Linked DNA regions of Drosophila melanogaster. Changing the gene in region 4 together with the main gene of any one other region gives a genetic interaction. Each region holds a gene or a part of one and is shown on either strand. Other genes may lie near its edges. The genes, in order: Drice, Dronc, Dark and hid.

What was found.
Region 1: of hid (region 4) and Drice, changing one suppresses a phenotype caused by changing the other (phenotypic suppression), as found in Drosophila melanogaster (6 studies listed by BioGRID).
Region 2: of hid (region 4) and Dronc, changing one suppresses a phenotype caused by changing the other (phenotypic suppression), as found in Drosophila melanogaster (9 studies listed by BioGRID).
Region 3: of hid (region 4) and Dark, changing one suppresses a phenotype caused by changing the other (phenotypic suppression), as found in Drosophila melanogaster (3 studies listed by BioGRID).

The regions. Positions count from the first base shown.
Region 1 is NT_033777.3:29,796,258-29,802,636, reverse strand, and holds Drice (death related ICE-like caspase), read right to left. Parts: upstream 2,980-6,379; 5' UTR 2,740-2,979; coding exon 1,720-2,739; 3' UTR 1,053-1,719; downstream 1-1,052. Other genes in the region: Etfb (electron transfer flavoprotein beta subunit), read left to right, coding at 1-688; Rnb (R and B), read left to right, coding at 3,368-3,529, 3,636-3,728, 3,806-4,399, 4,457-4,795, 4,861-5,067, 5,144-5,691, 5,753-5,828, 5,887-6,379.
Region 2 is NT_037436.4:9,965,195-9,972,165, reverse strand, and holds Dronc (death regulator Nedd2-like caspase), read right to left. Parts: upstream 3,688-6,971; 5' UTR 3,279-3,687; coding exon 2,832-3,278; intron 2,323-2,831; coding exon 1,417-2,322; 3' UTR 1,164-1,416; downstream 1-1,163. Other genes in the region: CG6674 (uncharacterized protein), read left to right, coding at 194-502, 564-956; CG6685 (uncharacterized protein), read left to right, coding at 3,872-4,061, 4,125-4,332, 4,386-4,479, 4,545-4,694. UniProt on the Drosophila melanogaster protein: Involved in the activation cascade of caspases responsible for apoptosis execution. Effector of steroid-mediated apoptosis during insect metamorphosis. Overexpression promotes programmed cell death.
Region 3 is NT_033778.4:17,017,633-17,027,288, forward strand, and holds Dark (Death-associated APAF1-related killer), read left to right. Parts: upstream 1-2,394; 5' UTR 2,395-2,609; intron 2,610-3,757; 5' UTR 3,758-3,768; coding exon 3,769-4,158; intron 4,159-4,279; coding exon 4,280-4,917; intron 4,918-4,970; coding exon 4,971-5,094; intron 5,095-5,157; coding exon 5,158-5,348; intron 5,349-5,452; coding exon 5,453-5,697; coding exon of another isoform or gene 5,698-5,705; exon of another isoform or gene 5,706-5,756; coding exon 5,757-5,946; intron 5,947-6,019; exon of another isoform or gene 6,020-6,065; coding exon 6,066-7,659; intron 7,660-7,720; exon of another isoform or gene 7,721-7,726; coding exon 7,727-7,846; exon of another isoform or gene 7,847-7,901; coding exon 7,902-8,048; exon of another isoform or gene 8,049-8,112; coding exon 8,113-8,796; 3' UTR 8,797-9,071; downstream 9,072-9,656. Other genes in the region: Paip1 (Poly(A) binding protein interacting protein 1), read right to left, coding at 1-167, 431-1,276.
Region 4 is NT_037436.4:18,181,734-18,188,451, reverse strand, and holds the start of hid (head involution defective), read left to right. Parts: upstream 1-2,810; 5' UTR 2,811-3,329; coding exon 3,330-3,660; intron 3,661-6,718.

The DNA.
Region 1 (6,379 bases), on a different chromosome or scaffold from region 4:
TGGCGTGGTCACCCAGGGCGTGAAGCACTCGATGAATCCCTTCGACGAGATCGCCGTGGAGGAGGCGGTGAAGCTGAAGGAGAAAAAGCTGGCCGAGGAGGTGATCGCCGTCTCCGTGGGCCCGGCCCAGTCGCAGGAGGTGATCCGCACCGCCCTGGCCATGGGCGCCGATCGCGGCGTCCACGTAGAGATCCCGGCCGCCGAGTACGAGCTTCTGCAGCCCATCCACGTGTCGAAGATTCTGGCCAAGTTGGCTCTTGACGAAAAAGCCGACCTGGTCATCCTTGGCAAGCAGGCCATCGACGATGATGCCAACCAAACGGCCCAGATGACCGCCGCCGTGCTCGACTGGCCGCAGGGCACCTTCTGCAACAAGATCGAGAAGACAGACGCCGGTCTGACCATCACGCGTGAAATTGATGGTGGCCTGGAGACAATCAAGACCAAGACCCCGGCTGTGCTGAGCGCCGATCTCCGGCTGAACACCCCTCGCTACGCCACGTTGCCGAACATCATGAAGGCCAAGAAGAAGCCGCTGAAGAAGGTTACGGCCAAGGATCTCGGCGTGGACACCTCGCCCCGCATCGAGGTCATCTCCGTGGAGGATCCTCCTGTGCGCCAGGCCGGCGCCACCGTCGCCGACGTGGATGCCCTGGTGGCCAAGCTAAAGGAGGGCGGCCACATCTAGATGTTCCTCAACTAGAAAATTGTGAGCGCATATTCTACGTTTTTAATTAGTCGAAAGTTATCAGAAACGTGCATTTATCTAGCCGGAGAGTCGGATTTGCTGACAGGCTTTAAATTTCTCTGAATTCAACCCATACCCGTGTGCTTTAAGTGAACTATAAATTGGAATTTATTCTCGTTGTGTCCAGCTCTAAGAATAAAGTGATTGTAAGCTCTGAAATCGTACGATCAGGGTCAGCCAATGGCTGGACTCGTCTATTTTTCCGTCTCCGCGTGCTACCTTTTCGGGAAATGCCGCTCAACTTGGCGCCCAAAAGAGGCGACAGGGTCAACAGCAAACAGCCAATGGTCATTGATTTCTCATTGTTTTCAATCGGATTTATTAGCGGTTAACTTGAAAGGAGAACATTTGCTAATGTGCATTATATAAGAGTACAAATGGCATAGAAATAGTATATATTGTTCATAAAACACTCGACTACAGGCTAAAATCGTTTGTTTTCGTTTTGGACGACCATGACACACAGGCTTATACTATAAAGATATCTATGTGTATAAAATTGTAAAAAGGTCTTGTCTGTAAATGGTCTAAGGTAGATATAGATAAGGGTGGGCCGACATTCCTGATCGAGAATCAAAGAGGCGCAAGTTGTTCTATGATAAGGTTTAGTAGAGAATTTAAAATTTTGAGATCGTCTTTGTTCAGTTGGCAAGTTAAAATTGTCAAAAAATTTTGGCCGGAGTAAAAACCTCTTAGATTTCTAAGTTAAATCGATCTACTCTACCCACCCCAAAAAATATAAATACAGACGAGTAAATGCGACATTAATAAATGTCAATCGAAAGATACTTTGTGCCTAAATAAAATAAAACGGGCAGTGGCACCAATCTCGTCGAGCAATTGGGCAGGTTAAAAAAGTGTTGTATAAAAAATATGCTGCAAGGCCGATAGCCCATGAGGTTCTAACTTAATTGCGACTTGGTTTATCACACACCTCGCCGTACCCACCGTTTGATCCATACCATTAGCCATCAAACCCGTCCGGCTGGTGCCAACTGCTTGTCGCTGAAACGCAGAATGCGCGTCAGCATGGTGGTTATGCAGGGTATCTGCTTCTGCTGGTGCATCTCCGGAGTGTCCGGGGTGCAGGACTCAAAGTCCACGGCCACCCGCTGGCACACGAATGTGAGCAGGGTCAGGATGTCCAGCCGCTTGCCATTGGCCGCCAGTTCGGCGCACAGGCTCTGCATGAACCAGCTGCCGCGGGTGGTGTTGCGCCACGAATAGAATCCAGGAACCGTCGAGTAGGCGATCAGAAAGTCGGCGTGCACTGGAATCTTGTAGCTCATCGAGGAGTCGCCATCGGTTTCCGTCTGAGAACGCTGCATGGTCACTCCGCCATCCAATCTGTCGCCCTGGCAGGCCTGTATGAAGAACAACTTGGGTTTGCCGGCTAGCGAGGGGCAGTGATTGGCCGTGAAGAAGCTCCAGATGTTATCCAGCTTGTACTGTGTGTCCTTGGCGTAGATGTAGCCCATCTCGCCGTGCGACAGGATGGCGACCAGGATGCAATCACTATCGCTGTGATTCTGCGACGCTGCATACTCGATTGTCCTCAAAATGTCCTTGTAGCGGCAGTCCTTGTACACGGTCACTTCGAAGTCCAGCTGCTTGAGCACCCGAGTCAGATTCTCGCAGTCCACATTGGTTCCCGCGCGAGACTTCAAGGTGGGCACCTCGAAGTGCTCATGGTTGAAGATCAGTGCCATTCCGCGGTTCTTGTGGCGCATGTTGTACTCGGCTGCATGGCGGTCGGTGACCATTTTGGCTACATTCTTACGGTAGCTGGACGAGGGTGAGCTGTACCCGTTGGCCAGCTGCCCAATGGCTCCGCTGCCGTAAGGATGCGAGGATCCTGCGACCAGGCCGCTGCTACCCGCTCCTCCGGATCCCACGGAGCCCAGGGCATCTGTGTGATCGTTGGGCTGCTCCGGATTGCCCACCCTGATGCCCACCTGGTCGGCGGATTCTCCATTGTTAGTGGCGTCCATGGCTAAGTTCTCTCCTTGAGCCTGCGAAAACTGATGAGTCACAAGCACTGCGAAACAGGTTTTTCCAAATCTGTGAAAAGCTTGGATGCACGACTTGGGCAAATTAGCTTCGTTCTGGGGAAAGTCCGTGTTTACGCGCAACAAAGACAGCTAGTTATTAACTAATTACTTTAGTCGATTGCGTTTTTGTCTTTAATTCTGTAAGACCGTTGTTGGCAGTTGAAAAACACCAAATAGCGCCTGATTTGGTGATGACACTTCAGCCCTCGTGTCACGATTACGGTAAACAAAGAAAGTAAATAAATATAGGAAAAATTATTAAATGGGTTTTAAAAAATATTAAAATAATTTGAAATTAAAAGCTTGGAGGTAATTTTGTGGGAACTTGTATAATCTACATAAAAAACAGGCCTGCTTCCATTTATTATTGTAGAATCGAATTCGCATCCAAAGCTAAAACGTAAACATCAGTTTATAAATAAGGCAGACCGCTGCTGGATTTTCGAAAAATAACGTAAAATACCGTAAAATACGCTCTTATGCACGGTCACACTCTCAAAGAGGTTTGAGACGCACTGTAGAATTTGTTGAATTGTTTCAATTTGTTTAAAAATTAAGAAAATTACCAATGTTCTGGACACCAGAGCAAGTGGAGAGCATGCTGGAAGTGCTAAAGACCTCCACGGATCGAACAGTCATTTACAAATGCCTGGTGAAGCTGCGCACCGATCTGGTGAAGGATAAAAATGGCATTGTTTTATTTCGCACTGCTGGGGGCGTTCACATCATGGTGGGTTTGGGAGTCACAACGCTCATGGTGGTTTGACAGCCACTGCCGCTCACATAGGATCGTTATTCGAATCGATTTTTAAATCATTATTAATTGCGTCTTCCAGGTGCGACTGATCACCAAGCTGAATGAAAAGATAATGGAGGTGGTACTGAGCATACTGGGGAACTGCTGCACCGACGAACAGTCCTGCATTGAGGTGGGATTATCAGATTACATTTTTATCTTTATTTTGAACCACAACGGTTAAAAAAATTTAAAACTTTCCACTTTAAGGCTGTTGAATGCAAGGTGATTCACCCGCTGGTGACCATTCTGAAGACCATACCTAATCCCCTGATCCAGTGCCGCGCCTGCCGGATGCTTGGAAACATCGCCAAGAGCAAGAAGGCGTCCCAGTGTCTCACAGTGCACTATGCGGCCATTGCACCGGCCATCTGCCACATCATTGAGTCCACCAGTGCGGTGCAGACCCGCATCATGGCATTCCGCGTCTGCCGTTTCCTTCTGGCCAGCAGCCAGTTCCTGAAGTACTTCCTCATGGCCAATGGGTTCCAGCAGCTGATGCGAATTTTTCTGGCCGTGATGAAGAACGAAGAGGCATCCAAGGAGCCCGTTCCGGACATCGAGATGTCCACGCTGATTGGCCTGAAGAGGAACCAGCACCGTGAGAAGTATTTCGAGGAGGTAGCCCGGAATTTGGAGGGTGTTCGCAGTGACATCTTTGACCACCAGATGCTCAAGAATTCCACAAGGAACTGTGACTATGCGCTGCCCAAGGAAAATGAAGCGGCCGTTGAGCTGGCCCTCGAGATTCTGAAGTGTCTGGTCCTGATATCCGCGCAGCAAATTGGACTGAAAGTTTGGGAGGTGAGACTGTTTTCTAAGTTCTCCAAAACGTAGTACATAATAAACATTTCTTGTTAGTCCATTTCCTGGAATACCTCGCTCGCCTCCATTGTGTGCTTCGTAAAGGAGGACGGCGACCAACGGGCCTCTGCCCTTAAAATCCTCTCTAACTTCTGCAAGGATCCCTTCGCCTTCTACATGCTGAGCACTGCGGATGCCATTGTGGCTGCCTGCGAGATGCTCATGGCTGTGAACATGGCAAAGCCACTTAGCGAAAGCGAGAGCCGGCACTGCATCAACATAATCTTGACGCTATCCACCGATGCCTGCAGCCGCTCGAAGATCCGGAGATGTGGGGCACTGCGCAAGCTGGTGGCCATGATCCGGGACTCCAACTCGCAGAGCGAGCGATCATCGGTGAGATGGAAACCAAATCCCTCTTGACATCTGCTATATATAATGGCTTTCTTCATACCCAACAGCTATTTCACATACTTTACAACTTCCAATATGATAACTTAAGCATGGAACTCATGCTGTATGAAGGACTAATGCCCATGTTGGTGCGGGAACTAAACGATTACCTGACCAGCGATGATGAGCATCACAAACGTCGACGAGACGAGAGACTGCAAGGTGGTAAAAAAAGAAAACTGACGGATCCCACAACGCCAGAGACGCTGAGCAAGGTATTTATTTAGCAGCATAGCAGCTAGCATATGTTTACAAGCCACTTGCTAATTATACCCACTTTTTGCACACAAGTTCTCAAAAACCCACGAGACCTTAGGATCGGACTTTGAATCGCCGAGCAGTTCACCTAGGTCTTATCGCACAACCAGTCCCTGCAGTTCGCGCAGCATGTCACCGGTGTGCACAGATCTGCTGACGAATGATGACGACGACAACTATTCTCCGGCGTGCAGTGATGACGACGAAGATGAGGATGACAGCACAAATAATAGCAATTTGGACACAAGAGAGCGGCGCATAGCCGCCAATCGTTCGCAGCCTTCGAATGTTCTGGATATACTGAAACTAATTGAGGAGGGCAGCGAACCCATAGATGATCCGCTGTCCGACAAAGAGGATCTCGAGGAACTGAGCTCGGATGTACCACCGAAACTAGCCCCGTTCCGCAATACAACATGCAACACCATTGACATAATAGAAAACCTTATCTATCGCATCACGCTGATGGTGAACAAGCGAGTGGAGCTGGGAAAGCCAGAGACGCTCGACACTCTGATTAGAGCCATCAAATTGTTTGGATCGAACAATAATTTCCCAAATGCCCTGACAAATATTCTACTGTAAGTTGTCAAGCTGAACTAAGGATAAGCATGTATTCTAATTGCACGTATATCCTTTCAGTGAGAGCCAGTTCTTTGCCCAGATAATAAAGCATGGCGTGGTCCATCAACTGTACCAGTTTACCAAGCTGAAGGAGGTAAAGTGAGCCCATTCATCTAATGTTCATCACAGTTAACACCGCACGTATATTTCAGATTCGCAAAGACGGCTTCGCCTTCTTGGAGACGTTAACCAATGTGGGAGAATCGAATTATGGCAAGGAGGAGCTAGTGCGTCTCCTGCGCTGCGACGATGTGATATCCCAACAGAGAGCCGCCATTTCGGTGGCCTACATAGTTAAAAGCCATCGATTGCTCTATCAGTTCCTGTACGACGGCAATGCGCTGAATATGCTATTCGACATGATGCTGCGCAAGAAGACCGAGGACCACTACGCAGATGAGGCGGCGGATGCGGTGACATCGATGGCGCGATATACCCTGGGCATCGTTATGCCAGAAGCCGAACCAGCGGAGAGTACAGCAGGAATCTGCAACCAAATTGCAAATGATACCGCACCGCTGCACGCCAACTGCGACATGCGATTCCTCGTTGGTCATGGAGCGGATTCCACCTCCATTGGGTTTAATAAGCAGCTGCTCTGCGACACCAGCGAAGTGTTCAACAAGATGCTCAACAGTGATTTCC
Region 2 (6,971 bases), 8.2 Mb from region 4:
TATAGACTAATCCATAGAAAAGGAAATGGTTTAATAGCTGCCTTAATAGTCTAAAAATACTGCACGTTACTAAAATACTAGATGAAAATACAAAACGGTAACTGTGAAAACAGCTGATTTGCAGCAAACAAAGTTACCTCTGCAAACACAACGCATTTAAGCAAATGCCATTTGTGCAGTTTAACTAAGTAAAATGCAGGAATTTTCAGCCAAACGAGACGCTCTTTTCGCATGTCTCGACGATGCGAGCAAAGAGTTGCGGGGAACTGCCTTGGATCAGAGCAAGGCCAAGGCGTTTTCCATCAATGCCCTCGATCGAGGAAACAAATCCGGAAACGAATCCGGACAGGTGATGAACTACCGCCAGGGTCGCAGCATTGTTACTGGCCTCGATGCGGAGGATGGAAGACTGCGACGAATGCGCGGCAAGGAGAGCATTTTCAAGAAGCCCGAACTCCCCATTGGACGCTGTTTGAAGCCAAGAAAAACGCCAGATTACCAGGTGACAGACCATCCCTCTGCAATTAGTTGTCCCCACCCTAAACGTTTGACCTACTCTCTAGGTAAACCCGCACAAATGGAAGAAGTACTCCCTGTCTGATGTGGACATTTCCGAACAGAGCAACTCCGCCGCCGCCTTGTCCTTCCTGCGACAAATGGATGCACAGCGCGAGGCTGAGGGCGTCGATAACGAATCTCCACCTACAGATGGCAAGATCGAGTTCAAGAGGACCAGCAAACTCAGCCGCAAGCTCAAGAGCCTCAAACAGCAGGAGGTGGATGATGTGGAGCTGGATAAGCCGCAGTTAAGAGGTTCCAAGCTGGTGATGCCTGAGTATGTAATTGGCCAAAAGCCGCATAAGCCAAAGAAATGCAAAACCAAATCGGAACAGAGCCGTGCAGCGGGAAAACTACAACTGTCCCACTTGGCGGAGGAGGATGAGCAGGATGATTAGGTTAAAATGTATGATCCTAAGATTATATTATATAATAATTAGTGTCCCAATGAAATTTTAGAAATGTAAATAGATTTTAATTATATACAAACTGCGGTTTGTTGTGAAATATCATCGTTTATTTTGTAAGTGTACACACTCAAAAATCAGACTGGAAAATTGCTTTACATTTTGCCTAAATGTTCGATTTCAAAAATCTGGCTGTGTATATACTGGAACTCTGTATTATAATATTTGTAGATTTCTGGCAGTTATCACATAAATTACATAATTTCGTACCTTTAAATGAGGTATGCAATACGTATTAGAAGAATACTTGAATGAGTATTTGTTACAATATAAACATTTTATAGCACGCGAGCACAGAACACATAATCTAAAAGACATACTAAATGCGACGATAAGAACATAAATGCGGTTAAAAATGCATCCGGAATGATAAAATGTCCAGTGGCGGCAACTATTCGTTGAAAAACCCGGGATTGAAGTAGAGTTTCTTATTAAAGCCAAGATTATCATAGGCACCTGTCTGCATGGAACCCTTCTTGGTGCGCTTATTACCCACGGCTTCGCTCGTCTTCTTTAGGATATCCTCAAGGTCTGTGTCGTGGGCATGATCGGCCATCACTTGGCAAAACTTCTGGATGTACCAGCTGCCCGTGTCGAGATCGCGGTGGGTAACATAGCCCGGCGTATTAGCATAGCAGACCAGAGTGTCGGCAAGACTTGGCACATTGGTGCTCGGGCTGGGTATGCCCTCCGTCTGGGTGTCAGGCCACTTCTCCTCTTGCGCCGTATACACTGGCTCCATGAGATTGCCTTGATTCTTTGGATGGCCCAAATCATATTCATCGCCGCGGCAAAAGGGAAACATAAGCACCTTCGGCTTGTTCACCAAATAAGGACATTTGGCCGTCTGGAAATGGTCCTTGATCTTCTGCATATCGACCACAGATCCATCGCAAAACTCCACCTTCTCTTTTCCCTCCACACTGTTGCCGTGTGTCATCAGTACCATTACGAAACACTCGGTATTCTGCACATACGACGAGGAGGTCACCATTGTCAGAAGTTTAAAGAACTGATCCTGATTCACGTTCCCATAGGGGAAAATCGTAAAATTCAGTTCTTGAAACAAGTGTATCAACGACTTGCTGTCCTTTTCGGCTCCGATCCGTCGACGGTTTTGATCCGGATAGTCCATTATGTTAACCATTAGCAAAACGCCTCGGTTGAAACGTGATTGCATCTTATATGTGCCCAATATGGCACTATCCCCACCATGTATCTTTTTCGATTTTTTTACCTCGGGACCGTCAACGACACCCACATAAGGGGTGAGTGCTCCCAGCGGCTCATTCCGGAGCTTTGGTAGGAGAGAGAAAGAAAGAACAAATTACAATAAAGATAAGATTTTCAATATATATATTATATTTTCATTGCACGGTTAATGTGGCAGACAAAGAAGTAATCAACATTCGTGCTATATAAACACAGCTGCCAGCAATATTGCGATAAGATTCTGGTTAAAAACAAATCCTACTAAAAGAATAATTGGGATAGGTAAGTAGAATGGATGTGATTCATGCTTCCAAAAAAAATGGAAAACAAGAATCTCATACACGAACTAACTTCTGAAAGAGAAGCAAATAATACTGTGCACATGTACCAAAGTAGTATTCATCATTGAGTCCATTTACAATTCTTAAAGATACCTTTTCTAATCTCATTCCAATAGGAATAACTCAATTAACAAACCTAAAAAAAAAAATGCAAATAAATTGTGCCATAAACCGGTTTTTTGTAGAAATCAGGGTCAATGACCTGAGCTGCAATTTCACCATCAAAGCTTTCGTATGATTTTATTTTCATTACCTTGCTAACGCAGGGTCCTTCGGAGGCTTCGGGTGAGGGTGTGTCCACAATATCGGCCGACTTCCGGCTGGTTCTCCGTTCGTTTAGCGAGATAAAGGGTGGCCTTGAATCGGACTCATCGACGGATTCCAATAGAACGGCCGCATCCAGACAATTGATATTGCGCAGTGCATTGATCAGCAGGTTATAGGCGGTGGGACCACGCTGGGTGATCTTCAATAGGAGCCTACGATGCTGCTCCACACGCACATCCTTCTCGTCCATGTTGAATGGCTTGCCATTGAGATCCTGCGTATTTCTTAGCATCTGAACGGTTAGGATGCCCTGTTGCACGCACTCCATGGCCAGACGCTCGTAGTTCGTCCATTCAACCAGTATATTCAGATTCTTGCGTATATGCTCGCGATGCCTCTTCGGCATTCCAATCTCGAGCTCCGGCGGCTGCATTCCGGATATGGCTTCCACGCGTTCCGGTGACTCCGCTTATTGGGCGCGCCAAGGATGGCTGCCGTGATCAGTCTCCAATTGGCAGTGGTATTGGCAGTGAATCACCCGTCTCCAAGGTTTTCCCGGGAATGATTTCGTTTATCGCTACTTGTCGATTCTTTGTCTCCGCTTTGTTGTTGTCGTCGTTGTTTTTGTTTTGCGACTTTCAAGAAAGGGGCACAAATCGGCGGCCCTGCTGGTGTCCTTATTTTTCCAAAAGTAAATTAACTAGTCTATATATTGCACTAGATGATCCTAGCAAGGATCGGGGATCTTCGAATAGGATTTCTTTCGAAACAAAAGGACCAACGAGCGTTTCGCGCCGCCAAACTCGCCACTAAACTAATAAATGAAACTTTGGGATTGGTGTGGCTGCTTGTGGGTGCGCCATTTTAACCAGAGAACGCGTCCGGGATAAATCCATGACATGAACCGTCTCCATGTTCCACTTATTCCACCATTCCTTCATTGCCGCATCAAATGATTCAATTTAATACTAAATACCAAATACCATATGGGGTCAGCCTAACAAACCGTAAACATAAACAAAAGAAATGGAGGAGGAGCAACAATTTACGCCGGAACCGAAAAACTCCGCGCAAAAAGGCGCAGAAAAGCCTGCAAGGATTCCGAGAGAGGTGAAAGTTAAGCTGCAAAGGCAACTAAACAGACTGGGCTACTCACAGCAAATCCTGCTCGAAGCAGCCAAGCAGCAAAATCAAAATAATTCGAATGGCATTCTCCGTGAGTTTTCTTAAAACATGCATAATGCAATAAAAGTACATTGTCCCCCAATCCCTTTTCTAGAGTATGTGGCCGACATGATTGGCAAGGGCGAGGAAATGGTGAAAAACTGCGACTCCGTTAGCTTAAACAACATTAACCAGTGGCTGGAGCTCATGAAAAGTTCGCAACTCGCTGAACTCTGCGAATTCGAAGCAGCCGTCGTTGTGAACTCCATAATCCAAAATGAGACAAAGCCATCGCCAACGGAACTGAACGGCATTGACTTGAAGTAGGAATGGTTTTGATAAACTACATTTGTATTTAGCATTGTGGTACTTTCAGTGAGGCCTACAAGTTTCTGGAAAACGCTTTGATGGGCCAGCCGCAAAAGAAGATGAGCGATGCGACCAAAGAATTTTTGTCCAAGGAAATTGAGGTGAGCAGAAGGCTGCATCAACTTTCCAAAATAGTTAAAAAAAAAGGAAATCCTAATGCCAACAGCTGCTCATAGAGAAGGCAAACACCGACGAATCCGACGATGTGGCACGCAGCATGGGGCAGCGTTTATTTGACCACCAGTTTTTGGATTACATGGAACAGCGGCAAAAGTGCAGTTTGGATCCACTATTCCTGGACGAGAAGCTAACGTAGAGGCTGTTATTGAGTAATTGAGGAATTTAGCACACAGAGCATTTATTCATTTCCACACATTTATTAAACATTTAAATTCAATTGTTTGTTACATACGTACATTGTCACACGCATTTGCACCGCTCCATTATCATCAATCAAATCATCGGATCCCACGTTTATACATTATTAGTATTACTATGCCAAATGCCCCAACCTTTGTACGTATTAATATTTGATAATTACACTCTTAATTAAGTACTTGACTATAAACAGTTTTAGCACATTTAAAATCTAGAATTCCTTTAGTTGTACACAATTACTTCGAGTAGTGTAAGAAAAAGTTGTGGGTCTTTGGCCTTTGGATTCTCTCAATTGCATAACATTTATTGTGCATGATTGTTTTCAATTGTTGGGGCTGCCAATTAGCATTGCATAGACTAGTGTAGAGATAGGTAGTTTAGTTTTAGGTTTTGCTACGATTAGCTTTGTTTTAAACTTTAAGAGGCATAAAAACAGTTGAGTGCTGCTTGACTCCCATAGCATCACAATAGAATCACAAGAGACAGAGTTGGCTTCATTTCAATTCAATTCATTAGAGGATCTAGGATGGTACACTTACGATAACATAACGTACATACGATCAGAATTACATACAAATTCGAATACAAATATAATACCCTTTTGTTTTAGGCGCAGTTACTAGCACTAAAACGATCTTCACACAATCAAATGCAATTCAATAATGTACATAATATAACTCTTAAATGTTCAGTCCAGTTTGAGCTTTTGGTTTTCCCCTTTTTCTTTGATTTAGATTTTGTTTTTAATTTTTTCATTTTTAAATTTTTTTTTTTGTTTCTTGTGTTTAGGTTTCTGTCTTGTCGCGTAAACATTAATTAAAATTAAGTAAATCTAATTATATATACGTACGATTAAACGCTAGTAAACCATATCGATATGCTTGTCTAAGGTGAAATAAATAAACAACAAATTCGGACCGAACAAAATGCAAAGCAATTTCAGGTGCATGGCAAGGATATGCTGGAGTTTCAGGATCAAATTAGCTGGCATTAACCAAACGCAGATCCAACGAATCGAACAAACACAACGAACGACAACAACGTAACTTAAAATTGCAATTGTTTGTTAGTTGATAGTTGATATAGAATTAGTTTTAGTGTCGCTTGAATTTTGATTGTCCCGTTCCCGTTCGTGTAATTCATACTTTTATTCATATCATTCGAGTATGTGTATATAAAGTAGAGTGGTTTTTAATGTGTCCTAGATAGAGTTCGTCCTGCTGCTGCTGCTGCGTTTTGTATACATATATAAATTCATATTTTTTTTCGGGTTTCACTTCTACTCCGCTAAACATAGCACAACAATAATGATAATAATCGCTTTAATTGCCGTTTACGTAATGAATACATCTATGACACTGGTGAGTCTTCACTATATGTATAAAGTTTCAAGAGTTTACCATTACCAATTACCACACTTTTACGCATATAGCTGCCCAACTATACAAATTGACTATAAATGTGAGACTGAGATTGAGTTTGAGATTGCCTTCGGGTACAGCGGCTTCAGTAATTACTGGCTCTGGTTCTATTTCGGATCGGTGGACCTTGGATTGGATTCGTGTATATTCACCTTAGTAGTAGTTTTGGGTGTTTTTTTGGAGCTATCTATTACGTTTGATCATAGTGTGTATATATTGAATGAATTGAATGATGGGTATAGAATATACATAGATTTATGTGGGATTCATCACTATAAAGCGCAGGCGGGATCACTCGAGGTTCTTGGCCAAAAAATAAACGTTCCTTTCGTATTCGTGGTTATTCATATTGATTACTTTTTTGTTTGTTTTTTTTTTTTTTTTGATTGCGATTGCTGTAAAGCTCTGTGATAAGTTTGGTTTCTATGGTGCTAGGTACGTTGTATGTAGGTACACGATTCTCTCTTAGTTGATTGCATATATTTATCATCGATGTTTGCAAAATAAATAGGCAATATATGTTTGCTTCTGTATCTTTTGCAGTGTGATATGGTTTAAACTATATATATATGATAAACTATGATGATATAGGCGAGTTCAATGACACATAGAGGTATATATTTGACATATTTTTGTATTTTTTTTTTATTTTTTGCCTAGCGTAAACATTCACAATAAATATATATTCGAGAATAGTTAGGATTTCTAGGAATTGATTGCATTCTGCATAGTGTTTCATTGGTTTTTAAATGGTTCGTGTTCTTGTGTTGATTGTGTTGGATTGTGTTTGACAC
Region 3 (9,656 bases), on a different chromosome or scaffold from region 4:
ATGTGCAGCAGGTTGTACAGCTTGGCGCCCATGTACCGGAAGTTCGGCTGCTCGATCGACTTCTCGAAGATGTCCTCCATGGCGATGGAGAGCACGAATTGGTTGTTCTCCATGCCATCGAAAATGGTCAGGAAGCGTGATGCAATCGAATCAAATTGGCCCGGATTCTGGATGGAGATCATTAATATGTCTGGTTAGTAGGAAATTTAGGTTTAAAACTTAAGATTAAGTTTGACTAGACTGAAATGTTTCAGCTGATTTTTTTTTTTACTTTCGAGCATAAATATATTGATTTTAAATATATTGTTATATTTAAAGAAAATATTAAGCTGACACCTATTAAAATTGATTAAATAATCATAAAACACTAAAAATATAAATCAAAGGAAGCCCATAATTGCCCTGATAGCTTATCAATCGAAATTCTCACCTGGTTAAGGCAATGTATGACTGTATCAAGATACTCCAGTGCTATGGTGGCCATGTCCGGCTGCGAAGAGTTCGAGGACGACGAGGAGGCCGCCGCAGTCGAAGTGGATGGCTGCGGTTGTTGATTCTGGTTCTGAATATACTGCTGCTGCTGTTGGTTGTGCTGCTGGTGGTGCGGCTGCTGCGGCTGGTTGTGCTGTGTTTGCTGTACGATTTGTTGGAATGAGTTATTCAAGTGGAAGTGCCGTTGAAACTTGGCGTGTTGGTTGTGTGGCTGATGCTGCTGCTGGTGTTGTTGGTGGTGGTGTGTGTTTTGGTGTACCTGCTGCTGCTGATAGTAGTTGCCGGCTGAGCCCTGCTGGCTATTCAGGTGCAGGCGATTCTGCACGGAATTCGTTAGCTTCTGCATATCGTTGTTGAACTTCTGCTGATGATTGTGATGATGGTTGTAGTGCGGCTGCTGGTGGTGCTGCTGATGGTGATGCTTAAAACCATTCACATAGCGCGGCTGCTGTTGGCCATAAGGAGCTCCTCCACCGGCTCCACCAGCCTGCTGGTATTGCTGATGTCGCGACTGCTGCTGCGGGGGAGCAGCTCCTCGAGGGATGAAAATTGTGGCCGTGGCCGACAGATTGGACGCATCGGACAGAGTCTGCGCCTGGGGTTGCATGGCCTGCACAGGAAAATTGCCAACCACCTGACCGTACGCCTGCGCTCCGGCGTACTCCCCAAAGAGATGCGCCTGCTGATCCAGTCCCGGCATGGCCACTCCGCCTGCTCCGCCGACATTCGGCCGGCGCAGCTGCTCATACTGATCGTCGGGCTGGAAGGGGGCGCGGCATGACATTGCGTTGGACTCGAAAACTGCAAATCACCAATCAGAGTAAAGTAATGGATGAGGATTAGTTTATCTAAATAAAGACAAATCACATTCGCCAGGGCATTCCCCAGCGTGGTTACGTTTGCAAGCCTCGGGACGCCGATTCAGACAGAGTTGCGGACATTTTGTTTTCCTACCACTGGTTTGTCGCCTTTCTTTTTTTATCTCTTTATTTTCCGCAGCCGGGTCAGTCGGTGTTTCCCATTGAAATGGACACGACCTATCCGACTCTACCGTGTGGTGGTGGGGAAATTGCAATGCCTACCTTAAATTTGTTCAAGTTGAATGTGTACGTCGCCGATTTTCGTTTTTGTTGCTTCGTTTTGCTGCGTCGTCACTTTCTCGTCTGCGTCTCTGATGCGCTGCTCCGAATTTCGTGTCTGATTTTGGGTGGGATTGCACGTTTTACTGGCCGTAAAAAATGTTAAATTGGACGGTGCGGGGGCGGGACGGCCGGTGACCGCTGAAAGGGAATGTAAAATGCTACGCACCTTTAATTTACACTGCGGCAATTTGTTAAAATTTATTATTTCGCCTTTTCACCGTCGGTGTGGTCGCAAGTGGCTAGTGAAAACTTACCTGGCAGTGAATACCTTTGTTGTCTGTGATATATCGATACGGCTCAATATGGTCACACTTTAAATAAAGTAATAAGTGCTAAACCGTTTTTTAGAAAATAAGCATTAGATAAACTACTTCATTTCGTACAAGAAAATCATGGTATTATTATAATCTTAGATCTAGTTGGAAAAGAGATATATATTTGGCATATATATATAAGGTGGCATATATATAACAAATTAATAACTAATAACAAATAATATATATTAAAATATAATAAGAAATTCTTAATATATAAATAAGAATTTATTATTATATATTATTTGTTGTCGGTTCAAAAATTAATTTAATCGTAATGTAAATTGTATTTCTTATTAAGAATATACAAATTCTCAATATCTTAAATCACGCAATATAATATCGAATTACAATTCAGATTACGATTAAAATCATTTTTGAACCACTTGACAACCCTATATATAATTCGATATTATTTCCCTCGCGTAAAACGGTCACACAGTCGAATAAATTCCGTTTTGTTATTTTTTGAGTACTACTCAATGAGTAGCATAGATTAGTACATTATTTATATTTTTTCAAGCCTTTAGTGTTTCGCTTAGAATGTGCTAGAACAATGTGAACAAGCCGGAGCAACTATATATTAAGGATAAAGTGCAATACTTACACATACAACAAAATACGAATAAGGACGACGATTTGTTAAAAATAAACGGCGAGCGTAAGTAAATATGCGTGCAGGTGAAAGCTTATGTACCTGTAGTGCTTTCGTTTTCTGTGCTCTACAAGTCCATTTGTTTAATTCTTCCATTGGGCCTTGTGCCTCCCCGTCAATCACAAATCCAAGGCACTGTGTGTGTGACTGAAACAATTGCATGCGAGAGCACTTACACACAAACATAACAAGTTCATTCACACGGCAAACTCAGTGACGTATCTTCTCTCTGCCTTTACGCGCTTATCTAACTGGTGATTAATAATTCGATCCGATTTTGGTTCTACGACATTGACGAGCGGAGGAGAACAAAAATGCAACCGGAATTGCCTTTTTCGATGGTTGCACCGCCAGCTCACGTATTCCTAGCTATTTAGAGGCGATCTCGTTCGCGTCCTTGTCGATTAGTTGTGAAATTACCGATGATCCAGTCGATCTCAGCTTGCAGATAAGGGATCTCATAGATCCATGGTATCGCATTTCTCTCCTCGAGAAGCCGTCTACGGTGCATTCAAATAAAGTGGGCCAAGCTTGGCGCCAAAAATTCCGCCATATGTATGTACACATATACATGCATACATATGTGCATTTGAAATGAACATTTTTTTGTTTTGATTTGTTTTTTTCGATTTTCTTGATTCTGTTCGCTAAGAGTTGCACCTGAGTTTTTATTGGTTGGTCCAACCAAATTTATGATTTGTGTGATTGCCCGACCAAGGAGAAGACAGGGATTCGGATTTGATTCAGCTTTATTATTAGAACACTCGATCTGGTTGCGTTAGTGTGAACGTGGAGAGCTTAGGAACAATAAAAGCTAGAAGGTTGATATTAAGAATACAGATTCTAGAGATACAGACGCAGCCCAAGTTTATTCACCCATGTTGCCACGCCTACCCTAACGCCCACAAACTGCTCAAAACTGTCACGGCCACACTTTTGAACCGTTTTAATTTTTATTTCTATTTATTTTGTTTTCGAATTTCTATGAGATAAAAATTTCCAGCAGAGTAACGGGTATCTAATAGCCGGAAAACTCGACTATAACATTTTCTTTTGTAATTAATGAAAATACCACAAAAAATAACCCAATGCCAATAAATTATTTCTAACATAGCTATAAAATTTAGTTACTATATAAATATTTACATATGTAGGTAACACGAATATGGATTTTGAAACTGGGGAGCACCAATACCAATACAAGGACATTTTGTCCGTGTTTGAGGATGCATTCGTCGACAACTTCGACTGCAAGGATGTCCAGGATATGCCGAAATCAATATTGTCCAAGGAGGAAATTGACCACATCATCATGTCTAAGGATGCAGTCAGCGGCACACTTCGCTTGTTTTGGACACTGCTCTCTAAACAGGAGGAAATGGTCCAGAAATTTGTGGAGGAAGTTCTCAGGATCAACTACAAATTCTTAATGTCGCCAATCAAGACTGAGCAACGGCAGCCCAGCATGATGACCAGGATGTACATCGAGCAGAGAGATCGTCTGTACAACGACAACCAAGTATTCGCCAAGTACAATGTGAGCCGCCTGCAACCGGTATGATAATCTCCCATTCGAAAAAAAAAACAATCAAAGAAGTCCAACGTACGAAACCGAAAAACAATTTTACTCTGTGGAATTGTTATCTAACCATACTACAATACTTTTTATATTTCAGTATCTGAAGCTAAGGCAGGCTCTTCTAGAACTTCGCCCAGCGAAAAATGTATTGATTGATGGCGTCTTGGGATCGGGAAAGACTTGGGTAGCCTTGGATGTGTGCCTATCGTACAAAGTGCAATGCAAGATGGACTTTAAGATCTTCTGGCTTAACTTGAAGAACTGCAATAGCCCGGAGACCGTGCTAGAGATGCTGCAGAAATTACTTTACCAGATCGATCCCAACTGGACAAGTCGTAGCGATCATAGCAGTAACATAAAGCTTCGAATCCACAGCATTCAGGCGGAACTGCGACGACTGCTCAAGAGCAAGCCATACGAGAATTGTCTCCTTGTTCTGCTTAATGTGCAAAATGCCAAGGCTTGGAATGCTTTCAACTTGAGCTGCAAGATATTGCTAACCACACGGTTCAAGCAGGTCACTGACTTTCTTTCGGCAGCTACCACAACTCATATTTCATTGGATCATCATTCGATGACGCTTACGCCGGATGAGGTTAAGTCTTTGCTTCTAAAGTACCTCGACTGTCGACCACAGGATTTGCCCCGGGAAGTTTTGACAACGAATCCCCGCAGACTAAGCATTATTGCTGAGAGCATTCGGGATGGTCTGGCGACCTGGGACAACTGGAAACAGTATGTGGATTATGAGTGTTCACACTGAATAAATACATAATTTTTTTTTGTAGTGTAAACTGTGATAAGCTGACGACCATCATTGAGAGCTCTCTAAACGTTCTGGAGCCCGCTGAATATAGAAAAATGTTTGATAGACTGTCAGTTTTCCCTCCATCAGCCCACATACCCACTATTGTAAGTGAGCACTGCACTTTACGGCATACATCTACTAATCGTTATCAACTTCCTGTTGAACAGCTCCTATCGTTGATATGGTTTGATGTTATCAAATCCGATGTAATGGTAGTGGTTAACAAACTTCATAAATATTCATTGGTGGAGAAGCAACCAAAAGAGTCAACCATAAGTATACCCAGCATATACTTGGAGTTGAAAGTCAAGCTTGAAAACGAATATGCACTTCATCGGAGTATCGTAGATCACTATAAGTATGTTCCTAGCCCTTTTCTTGATATCTTGAATTTTTGCTAAAATGTATTAACCTTAAGCCACGAGTAAGCCGTATACTGAGTGATTTTAACCTTTTTGTTAGTATCCCAAAAACATTCGATTCCGACGACTTGATACCGCCTTACCTGGACCAATACTTCTATAGCCACATCGGTCATCATCTAAAAAACATTGAGCACCCCGAACGGATGACTCTCTTTCGCATGGTCTTTTTAGATTTCCGTTTTCTAGAACAAAAGATTCGGCACGATTCAACTGCTTGGAATGCCAGTGGATCGATCTTGAACACGCTACAGCAGCTGAAGTTCTACAAGCCATATATTTGCGGTACGTAAATTTCTGAATCATTTGAAACAAAAAAAAAATGTAATCTTTTTTTCATGCAGACAATGACCCAAAGTATGAGCGCTTAGTCAACGCTATTCTGGATTTTTTGCCAAAGATTGAGGAAAATCTTATTTGTTCAAAGTATACGGACCTGCTTAGGATTGCCCTGATGGCCGAGGATGAGGCGATTTTTGAAGAAGCCCATAAACAAGTGCAGCGCTTTGACGATCGGGTTTGGTTTACTAACCAGTAAGTACTTACCAGCTATTGACTAATCAAACAAACAGAGCTGTCATTTTTAGTAATAATGAAATGTATATATATTAAAGTTACTTTATTATTATTATTTCACTTTTTCCTTTTATCAGCGGTCGTTTCCACCAGCACCGTCAGATTATAAACCTGGGTGATAATGAGGGGCGCCATGCTGTCTACCTTCACAACGACTTTTGCTTGATAGCGCTGGCCAGCGGGCAGATCCTGCTAACCGATGTTTCGCTGGAGGGAGAGGACACCTATTTGCTAAGGGACGAGAGCGACAGCAGTGACATTCTGCGTATGGCGGTATTTAACCAACAGAAGCACTTGATCACCTTGCACTGCAACGGCAGCGTAAAACTTTGGTCCCTGTGGCCCGATTGTCCAGGAAGGCGCCACAGTGGTGGTAGCAAGCAGCAGCTAGTCAATAGCGTGGTTAAACGCTTTATAGGGAGCTATGCAAATCTGAAAATTGTTGCTTTCTATTTAAATGAAGACGCCGGATTGCCAGAGGCCAACATCCAACTGCATGTGGCATTCATCAATGGTGATGTGAGTATTTTGAATTGGGACGAACAAGATCAGGAGTTCAAACTGTCGCACGTGCCTGTTTTGAAAACGATGCAGTCGGGAATACGGTGTTTCGTTCAGGTTTTAAAGCGATATTACGTGGTCTGCACCTCAAATTGCACACTTACTGTATGGGATTTGACCAACGGTTCCAGCAATACGCTGGAACTACATGTTTTTAATGTCGAAAACGACACGCCGTTGGCCTTAGATGTATTTGACGAAAGGAGTAAGACCGCCACCGTGTTGCTGATTTTTAAGTACAGCGTATGGCGGCTCAATTTTTTGCCAGGTCTTTCGGTTAGTTTGCAATCGGAGGCAGTGCAACTGCCAGAAGGAAGTTTCATCACCTGCGGAAAGCGTTCGACTGACGGACGTTACCTACTGCTGGGCACGTCCGAGGGACTTATTGTGTATGATCTGAAAATCTCTGATCCCGTGCTACGCAGCAATGTCAGCGAACATATAGAGTGTGTGGATATATACGAGCTGTTTGATCCTGTCTATAAGTACATTGTTTTGTGCGGCGCTAAGGGAAAACAGGTGGTCCATGTGCACACATTGCGCTCTGTAAGCGGCTCGAATTCACATCAAAACAGGGAAATCGCCTGGGTTCACAGTGCAGATGAGATAAGCGTGATGACAAAGGCTTGCTTGGAGCCTAATGTCTATCTGCGTTCTCTGATGGACATGACCAGAGAGCGGACGCAACTTCTGGCTGTGGACTCCAAGGAGCGCATTCACCTAATTAAACCGGCCATTTCTAGAATTTCCGAATGGTCCACAATCACACCCACTCATGCTGCCAGTAACTGTAAGATAAATGCCATATCCGCCTTTAACGACGAACAGATTTTCGTTGGCTATGTGGACGGAGTGATAATAGATGTTATTCATGATACAGCGCTACCTCAGCAGTTTATAGAGGAGCCCATTGATTACCTCAAACAGGTCAGTCCCAACATTCTGGTGGCGTCGGCACACAGTGCCCAGAAGACTGTGATATTCCAGCTGGAAAAGATAGATCCGCTGCAACCCAATGACCAGTGGCCATTGATGATGGATGTTAGTACCAAGTACGCGTCCTTGCAGGAAGGACAGTATATCATTTTGTTTTCCGACCACGGAGTCTGTGTGAGTGTTCTTAATTGAAGTTTATGCGAGTAAAAGTGCAGTATTTGATTTCAATATTTACCAACAGCATCTGGATATAGCTAACCCATCTGCATTCGTGAAACCAAAGGATTCGGAGGAATACATTGTCGGCTTTGATCTAAAGAACAGTCTTCTCTTTCTGGCCTACGAAAACAACATCATCGATGTGGGTTTGCTAAACATAATATCATTAAACAATTATCAATTATTTCCAACGACAGGTATTCCGTTTAATATTCAGCTGTAACCAACTAAGGTACGAACAGATTTGCGAAGAAGAGATCGCCCAGAAGGCCAAGATCAGCTATTTGGTAGCCACGGATGATGGTACCATGTTGGCTATGGGTTTCGAAAATGGCACTTTAGAGGTATACATACGTCTTACAAATTCGTTTCATAATTATTTCCTGCTAATTATACATTTCCCAACAGCTCTTTGCCGTTGAAAACAGAAAAGTTCAACTGATCTACAGCATTGAAGAGGTCCACGAGCACTGCATCCGGCAATTGCTATTCTCGCCATGTAAGTTGCTCCTGATCAGCTGCGCGGAGCAGCTGTGCTTCTGGAATGTGACGCACATGCGCAACAATCAATTGGAGCGCGAGCAAAAACGGCGGCGCAGTCGACGCCATAAGCAGCACAGTGTTACACAAGAGGATGCTGTGGATGCGGCGCCCATTGCAGCGGACATCGATGTAGATGTGACATTCGTTGCCGACGAGTTTCATCCGGTGAACCGAGGGACTGCGGAACTGTGGCGGAATAAGCGCGGCAATGCCATCCGTCCGGAACTCCTGGCCTGCGTTAAATTTGTGGGAAATGAAGCTCGTCAGTTCTTCACAGACGCCCACTTCTCCCACTTTTATGCCATAGATGACGAGGGTGTCTACTACCATCTGCAGTTGCTGGAGTTAAGCAGACTTCAACCTCCACCTGACCCAGTTACGTTGGATATTGCCAATCAGTATGAAGACTTAAAAAATCTTCGAATTCTCGACAGCCCACTTATGCAGGATTCGGATAGCGAGGGTGCTGATGTAGTTGGCAACCTGGTTCTGGAGAAGAACGGCGGAGTGGCGAGGGCGACACCAATTCTGGAGGAGGCCAGTTCATGACGCCAGAAGTGCGTCCCTAGGCGGCGCACGAAACAGGAAAGTCCAAACTACAACATGGCATTTATAGGATTACTGCTCTACTACCTGATGGTTTTGCTCTTCTACCTCCTGGGTCCGGATTTGTCCTAGGCAAACATTAGTTGTTGGCGCTTACATTTGCGAATGTATGCAGCTAACCAAGTATGATATCTCAGAGGGCGGTGGGTGCGTTGCCCTGCCTTTGTTTGTCAACGCGAGTAACCGCCACCAAATAAACGACATTTCACGAAAAACACAGAACGCGGTTTTGTTGTCTGCTCTTTGTGCTGTCCGTATGTATGTATGCATGCATGTCTGTGTGGGTGGTTGTGCTGTGCGTTTGTTTTGATTTCTGCCAGGCACGCCAGATCAAGTGTTGCAAAAGCATTGGTCCCGGGACAGTGCTGCTAAGTTCGTGTATGGATATCAGTGTTGCGGTCCAATAAATAGGTACGTATCTGGATTGTGGCTCGTCTACTTCTAAGCTGACTTAAATTAATAAAAAGGCTTTGGCCTCAATGTTTGCATTTTGGTTTTATTAAAAAGTTCAAGTCAAGTTTGGGCTATAATTTTTATAAGCTAAGATTTACACACATTGCCTTAATGAACACACGTACGAAATATATTAAGAAGCATTTAAAACAATGAATAAAAACCAATAGCTAACTTGTATCATCGGCAAGGTACCTTGTTTGTACCAGTTTTAGGTACTGAATTCCGTACCGAACTAAAGCCCTTTTCAACACTGGCAGATATGCGCTCTTTCTCGTCATTTCATTCCAATTTTCAAGCTGAAAAGAAAAGAACGTCGTGTGCGTGTTGATGGCGCGATAAGTGAAAAA
Region 4 (6,718 bases):
TGGTAAAAATCGGAATCTAACATAGATACAATACATACTTACATACTTACATATGTACATGTATGTACGTCTTATTTTAATTTCTTTTTGAAGGTAAATACATATGTATGTAAAAATTTAAGTTTTAATAAGTTGTTTAGATTTAACACGAAAAGTTCATTAACTCATCGTTTTTGGCATTGTTACTCTTTGTTAAAATATACATACATATATTAATTTCTTTTATTTAAAATGTATGTATTTCAATTGAAAATAAGTTGCATTTTGAACACAATCTAGGCGTACAAATACGAAACTTCTTTGAAAAAGTATGGAAAACATGGCTACTGTCTTTGTGTATCCAGAAACTGCGTGCTATTGAATTTATAACACGCAAACGGTGCTGCCTCAAGTTGATTTCATCACCCCCATTCAAAACACTGTTATCTGAAAACCCCACCCATTTTTAAAATGGCCTGTTCAATCGCGCATTTTTCAAGACAACACATTACTGTTTATTTTGCTTTTTTCTGGACACTGACAGCCAATTCGACGACACAGTGCACTCATATTACGCTTAATCAGTTTCGTATCCAAATATTTTGTATTTATTTTGCACTGCCTCGAGTAATTGGAGTTGCGAACGGGAAAGATATACAAATAATATAATAAAGGCGATCTAAAAACATAAGCAGAGCTGAGGGAAAACAAAAAATAAATCACAAAAATCGAGCCCCTTTTTTCCGATTAATCCCCGTTTTCTCCGCCTTCACGTACTTTTGTTCTTTTCGCTTTGGACTTCTTCGCTTGTTGCATGCTCGCTCATGTTCATGTTTTTTATGTCGTTTTGTGCAAGAGTGTGCTTGAATTTCGTCATCTTGGGAAATCCTTGCATAATGTACATATTCATGTATGTTCATCCATACATACTTACGTACATACATTTGTCGTCGAGTCGTTTAGCTTACGTGTTATCGCACTTTATCGGCATATTTTTGACCTCAATCTTAGTTTATTAAATAAAGAGAGTTTTTGGGTGAAAACAAAAAAGGTGTCAGGTAGGGCTAAAATCATTTTTGATTTTAAAAATTTAAGGTAATCATTTAAGGGATATGAACAAGTATAATAAAACTAGATTAAATGCAAGTGCATTTTCTTCAGAATTTTCGACGGGCCTCTTTTATTTTGAAATATGGGCTATTAAACTAGTTTTAGGTCTAGAATCTAATTTGTTTTAAATTATATTGCGAACATTTTATAATACCACATTATTAAGAGAGCTACTAGAGCTACATAGATACAAAGCTAATAAATGGATCTAAAGTAATGCCAGTTACGAGAATTATTTGCCGTAAAATTTAAATTAAAAGCCAAGAATTGTTTTACGCGTATTTCGTAATTTTTTTCAAGCGTTTTCGCGCGCAAAGTTGGGAATGACAGAGAAGGAAATAGAGAGAGAGAGAGAGAGAGAGAAAAGGAGAGGAAAAAGCCTGTTTGTATAATGTGTGGGAGGGAGAGGGGAAGATGCAGAGGAAGACAAGAGTAAGAGCGAAAACAGGTTTTTCATGTTGCACAGTCAATTTTTGATATATGGTGAAATTGATTAAATATAGCCAACATCCAAATCGGAAATGTAATTAGCTAAACTCCTTATCGTATATTCAAAAACACGTTTGAAATGTTTAATGTGAATGAACGCCAACTAAATAGTCTTTATTACATTGCTTGAATACCCAAAATATAAAACAATTTAATTTATTTTATTAAATACAATAAACTAGCTAATCATTCTCTGCATAAATGTACATACATACATACATATGTACATTCATTTAGCCAGTAAAACCTGAGCTAAGCAAGTTGGATCCTTTGTTAATCATGTTGCTATTTTTCAAATTTATATTCAAAAAAAAAGTATTGAACATTATAAAATTGTGAACTTCCCTTCTCAAAATATTTTAAAATGTGAGAAAGTAATCAAGCTTTGTCTAAAAACTCCCTTTTTTCTACTACCTTTTTAACTCATTTAATCCGCTCATAGAATATACTCCCATTTATCATACTCTTTCTACTCCGGTTTTTTGGCCTCTTAAGAACGCTTGCTCTCCCTCCGCTCTCTTGTTTAAACAAATACAAATCAAAACCGAAAGCAAGAGCAAAGTGCAATAACGAAAACCACAAGCAAAGAGTGTTGTACAATTGCAGTTTTTGTTTTGCTTTAGCGTTCGCTAGGCAGCGCAGTCGGATATACTGCCTCTTCGCTACTTCTGATGAGTTTTCTTCTTCTTCTGAATTTACCTGCTCGACAAGATCTTTGTGTACCCACACATACACGCGTACACAGCCTGCCCACACACTCTTAGTTGAAACGAGAAAGAACGTTTTGTAAGAGTACCAACTGAGACATACCCTTCACATTGTTTGTGCATCTAAATATGTACTTTATGTTGTAAGTAAATATGAGTTATAAAATAGTGTTACTTCAGCAATTAGTGCGCTGGTACAATATTTCAGTTTTTTCAGTATGCGAAAGCCAATCAATTAAATTTTTACAACCTTAAAATCTAGATATGTTAACTATGCTCCTTGATGCATTTATGTAGACGCAATTCATGGTCCGAGTATACTCTTCCTCACTCAGCTATTACAGGGTAGGTAAAGAGCGGGATTTTTTAAAATATTTTTTTTCTCTCAAGTGTGCCTCCTTCATGCACGTGCATGTGCAGGAGAGGGAGCGAGAGAGATTGCGATTGCACTGGCTGCGCGCCTACGCTGCCGCTCTGCCGACGTCGCGGTAGAGGCTCTGTTGCCGTAGTTTGAGGCCCCAGTGCGAACAGTTCATTTTTAGCCGCGGAGCCAGTAAGACGTGTTTCCTGCCCTCTTTCTTTGAGTCTGCGACACGTTTTAAGTGCTCTTCCATAATTGACAACAGCAAAAGCAAAGAATAAAAAAATAACAAAAAATAAAAAACGAAATCCATCGTGAACAGTTTTGTGTTTTTAAATCAGTTCTAAACACGAAAAGGGTTGATGAAAAACGCAGAAGAATCCGAAAAACTAACTAACCGAGCAAAAACTTGACTTGAGTGTTGTTTGACAAATCAGGAAAGATAAAAAACAAATCATAAGAAAAAACTGCACGAAAAATGAAAAAGTTTCTAATATTCAAAATCTTGCACAAGAAATACAAAATCAATTAAAGTGAACTCTAACCAAAAGTTGTACACAAAATAAAAAGCAAAACAAAGCAGCGAAGAACAATCACAAGAAGAGCAAAGTGCCAACAAAGTGCAGGAAGGAAGGAAGCGGATAAGGACAAAAAGGAAGCCAGCACACACACACACCCACACAATGGCCGTGCCCTTTTATTTGCCCGAGGGCGGCGCCGATGACGTAGCGTCGAGTTCATCGGGAGCCTCGGGCAACTCCTCCCCCCACAACCACCCACTTCCCTCGAGCGCATCCTCGTCCGTCTCCTCCTCGGGCGTGTCCTCGGCCTCCGCCTCCTCGGCCTCATCTTCGTCCTCCGCATCGTCGGACGGCGCCAGCAGCGCCGCCTCGCAATCGCCGAACACCACCACCTCGTCGGCCACGCAGACGCCGATGCAGTCTCCACTGCCCACCGACCAAGTGCTATACGCCCTCTACGAGTGGGTCAGGATGTACCAGAGCCAGCAGAGTGGTAAGTCTACAAAGATCTCAATTCTCCACTCTTAAGAACTTTGAAATTGTGTGGGTTAATCAGGATATCCATTTAGTTTACCTCAAATACATTTGCAGATACAAAAATAAGTTTCGATTCATATACGGTTATTAATTGCGAAATGTTTAAGAAGTTCCCACACAGAATAACTGCTTACGCATGTTGGTAATATATTTTCTAAAATGCTTATAACCAACACTTTATTTAAGCCCACTTGTTTTGCTATTAACAAGAAGGATTTTCATAGGATCTCCTTGTAAAAGTAAACAAAAAATGTTATTAACTTGAAATTGCTTAAAGAATAGTAAATTTATTTCTTTCGAAAAAACAGCATTTTAAATGTTTGAAGATATTTTCAAACTAATAGATTTGATCAATAAAAAATGGCGAACAATTTTTTTCTATACAAGCGACTTTAAAGGTTTCATATTTTTGATTACCGCTTTTAATATCATTTAGTTTAGTTTAAGAAAGTTTCTGGACAGCCGGAGGGTTTCCCTCATTTTAAAATGGGTCAGCAATTAGCCAAGTTGTGACGTTATTTGTTAACTGCTTCAGTTCCCCTTGTGCAAGTTTCACTTTTCAAGGTTGTTGATTCATCCAGTTTCGAGTAACTGCGTCAACTGCATCCAGGTTGTTTTTGTTTACTTTTACCCAGTTTTTTTTTTATTTTATATATGGTCAATTCAGCACTTTGTCAGCTTATCAGCAAAAAAAAAAGTGTAAAAGGCAGAGCGGAAGGCAAATTTCTCGGCCACATTCGAAAGGAAGCCGAAAAAACGGTAATTCAATAAAAATTAATCGAACAAGTTCAAAAAGGGGAAAATTGAGAAGTAATTGAGAAGTTTCGATTGGAGGAGAGAGCAAACTTAATAAACGAAGTCACAAAACTGCAAAAACTCAAAATCATGTGGGGAATTACTGGATCAAATTCCCAAAGTGGGAATCTTACAAATTAAAAAATTTTGTATTGAGACAAAAATCTACTTATGTTATAAATAAATGAAAATAAAGTAGAAATGGTGATAACTAGCTCGATAAATCACATTAAGATCAATTTCCTTCGGTCATGATTATCTAAACTAGGCTGATAAAACTTTTAGTGTGCTATGGCTTTAAGAAAGAAACGCCGAGACACATGCAAGACAACTGCCGAGTTGGCTGTCATGCGATATTGTTCGTAAATATGGTCAAAAAATTGGGCGTGTGCTGGACCAGCAAGAAAATAAAGACCTGGCTGAAACCAGGGAAACATAACCCAGCGGCAATAAAACAGAGCTGGGAGCACAGAGCTAAGCACGTTTAATTGGCACGCGCCAAACTCGAGTCGAATGTCTTACTTTTGAGACTTTTGAGTGAGTGTGGTGTGCCTGTGTGTCTGGGTATCTGCAAGATATCTATCTATCTCGAGCGTACTGCTCGTATATCTTACCACTCGACTAACCCAAATTATTAAACGCCATTTGACCTTAGGCAACTAGTTTTCCGATTTTCCAAAAGGGGGCCAAACGGGTTGAGGGTGTGGGCCATTTGCAAAGTGTTTGACTTAACGGTTGTTTAAGTAGCTTTTGTGCTCGGCCACGTTGAGTGCGGTCAGTTTTTATTGTTTTTCTTTTTTTTGCGCGCGCGCTTTTCATGTTTGCTTTGCGGTTTTTCATTCGCGTTCCTTAATTTTGTGTTGCCTTTGCATAATAGATTTTGTCGCTGTCGATGATTGCCAGCTGCGCTCTTTGGTTCCACCGAACAACCGAATTGTTACTTTATATTATTTTGCTGTTTTATTTGGTTTGTTACCTTTTTTGCTGTCAGCAACAGTTGGTCAGACGAAAAAAAAGCGTTCCCTTCTCGAAATTACAGTGAGTCACTTTTGGGCGCTTCAATCTGTTTTCGTCTATAATATCATAATTTATACAGAGATACTTTTTTTTCGCTTACGAGAGCTGATGCCCAGTGAAAATTCGATTGCGGGGCATTTATTTTGAAAAACGAGCTAAAAAGACTTGACGTTATCGTGAAAGTTTCGATTTAAAAGTAATTTTCCCTTATCTCATTTTCCCGAACCACATCTAAGCCCCTACTCAACGCACGCCGATCATGTACTTTAGTTAGCCACTCAAGAGGATAATTTATCTAATCGTGACACATCCCGAAACTAGTGAACAATGCTTGAAGCCCTTGAAACAAGAAAGGGATAAACTGTAGTTAACCAAGAAGCGAGAACCCTTTTTCCTGGTTCCCCCAGCTATGCCATACATACACACATACATGCAAGCCAGATTCACGGAATACTTTTAGCCAGAAACGCGCTTAGTCATCAGCCAGCTATCAACCCTAAAAGCCTAAAAATGCGAGGCGCAAACAACCCCGACAAAAATTCCTAAATACCAACAGAGCTTTTCCCTACCAAAAGCAAAAAAAAAAATGCGGCAGGGAGCCTTTTGTTTTGGGAGAGGATTATGCATACAGCATCCAGAGCCCACCACGTAACCCATTCCCAATGGCGACCAACAAAAGGTGCAATGACAGCAGCGGTTCCCTAATCAGTGATGGGAACAGGTACATTTTATCTGTTGGCTAATTGGATGCAGATTAAAAGATGCGTAAACCTAGCGGTTATTATGTAAACTATTATGGACTATTACTTTTTTGGTTCAACATTTAGTTATTAACATAGATTTTTGTTATCATAGATAATAATATGTACCTATGTAGGTACAGTGCAGAGTACAAAAATGTTCCCCACCGTACTCAACTCCAAGTTTTGGTCGCTCTGCTTTGGCTTGCAAATTCGCATCATTCGCTTTGCTGTTGCCAACAGCTGTTCTGCTGCTAGGCGTTGTTTTTCGCTGCCGGCGTCTCTGCCGCACTTGACATTTTCAACCATTTTGTTTTGCTCGGCAACTTCGTGTAGGTGGACTTTAGTAGAAAAGAGGAGCCATAATGGCGGCAAAAATGGCGACTCCTGCCGCATCCTGCCTGGCAACAAAACACAGCTGACTGCTGCGCAGATAGAGCGAGATGAAGCCTACGCCTGGAG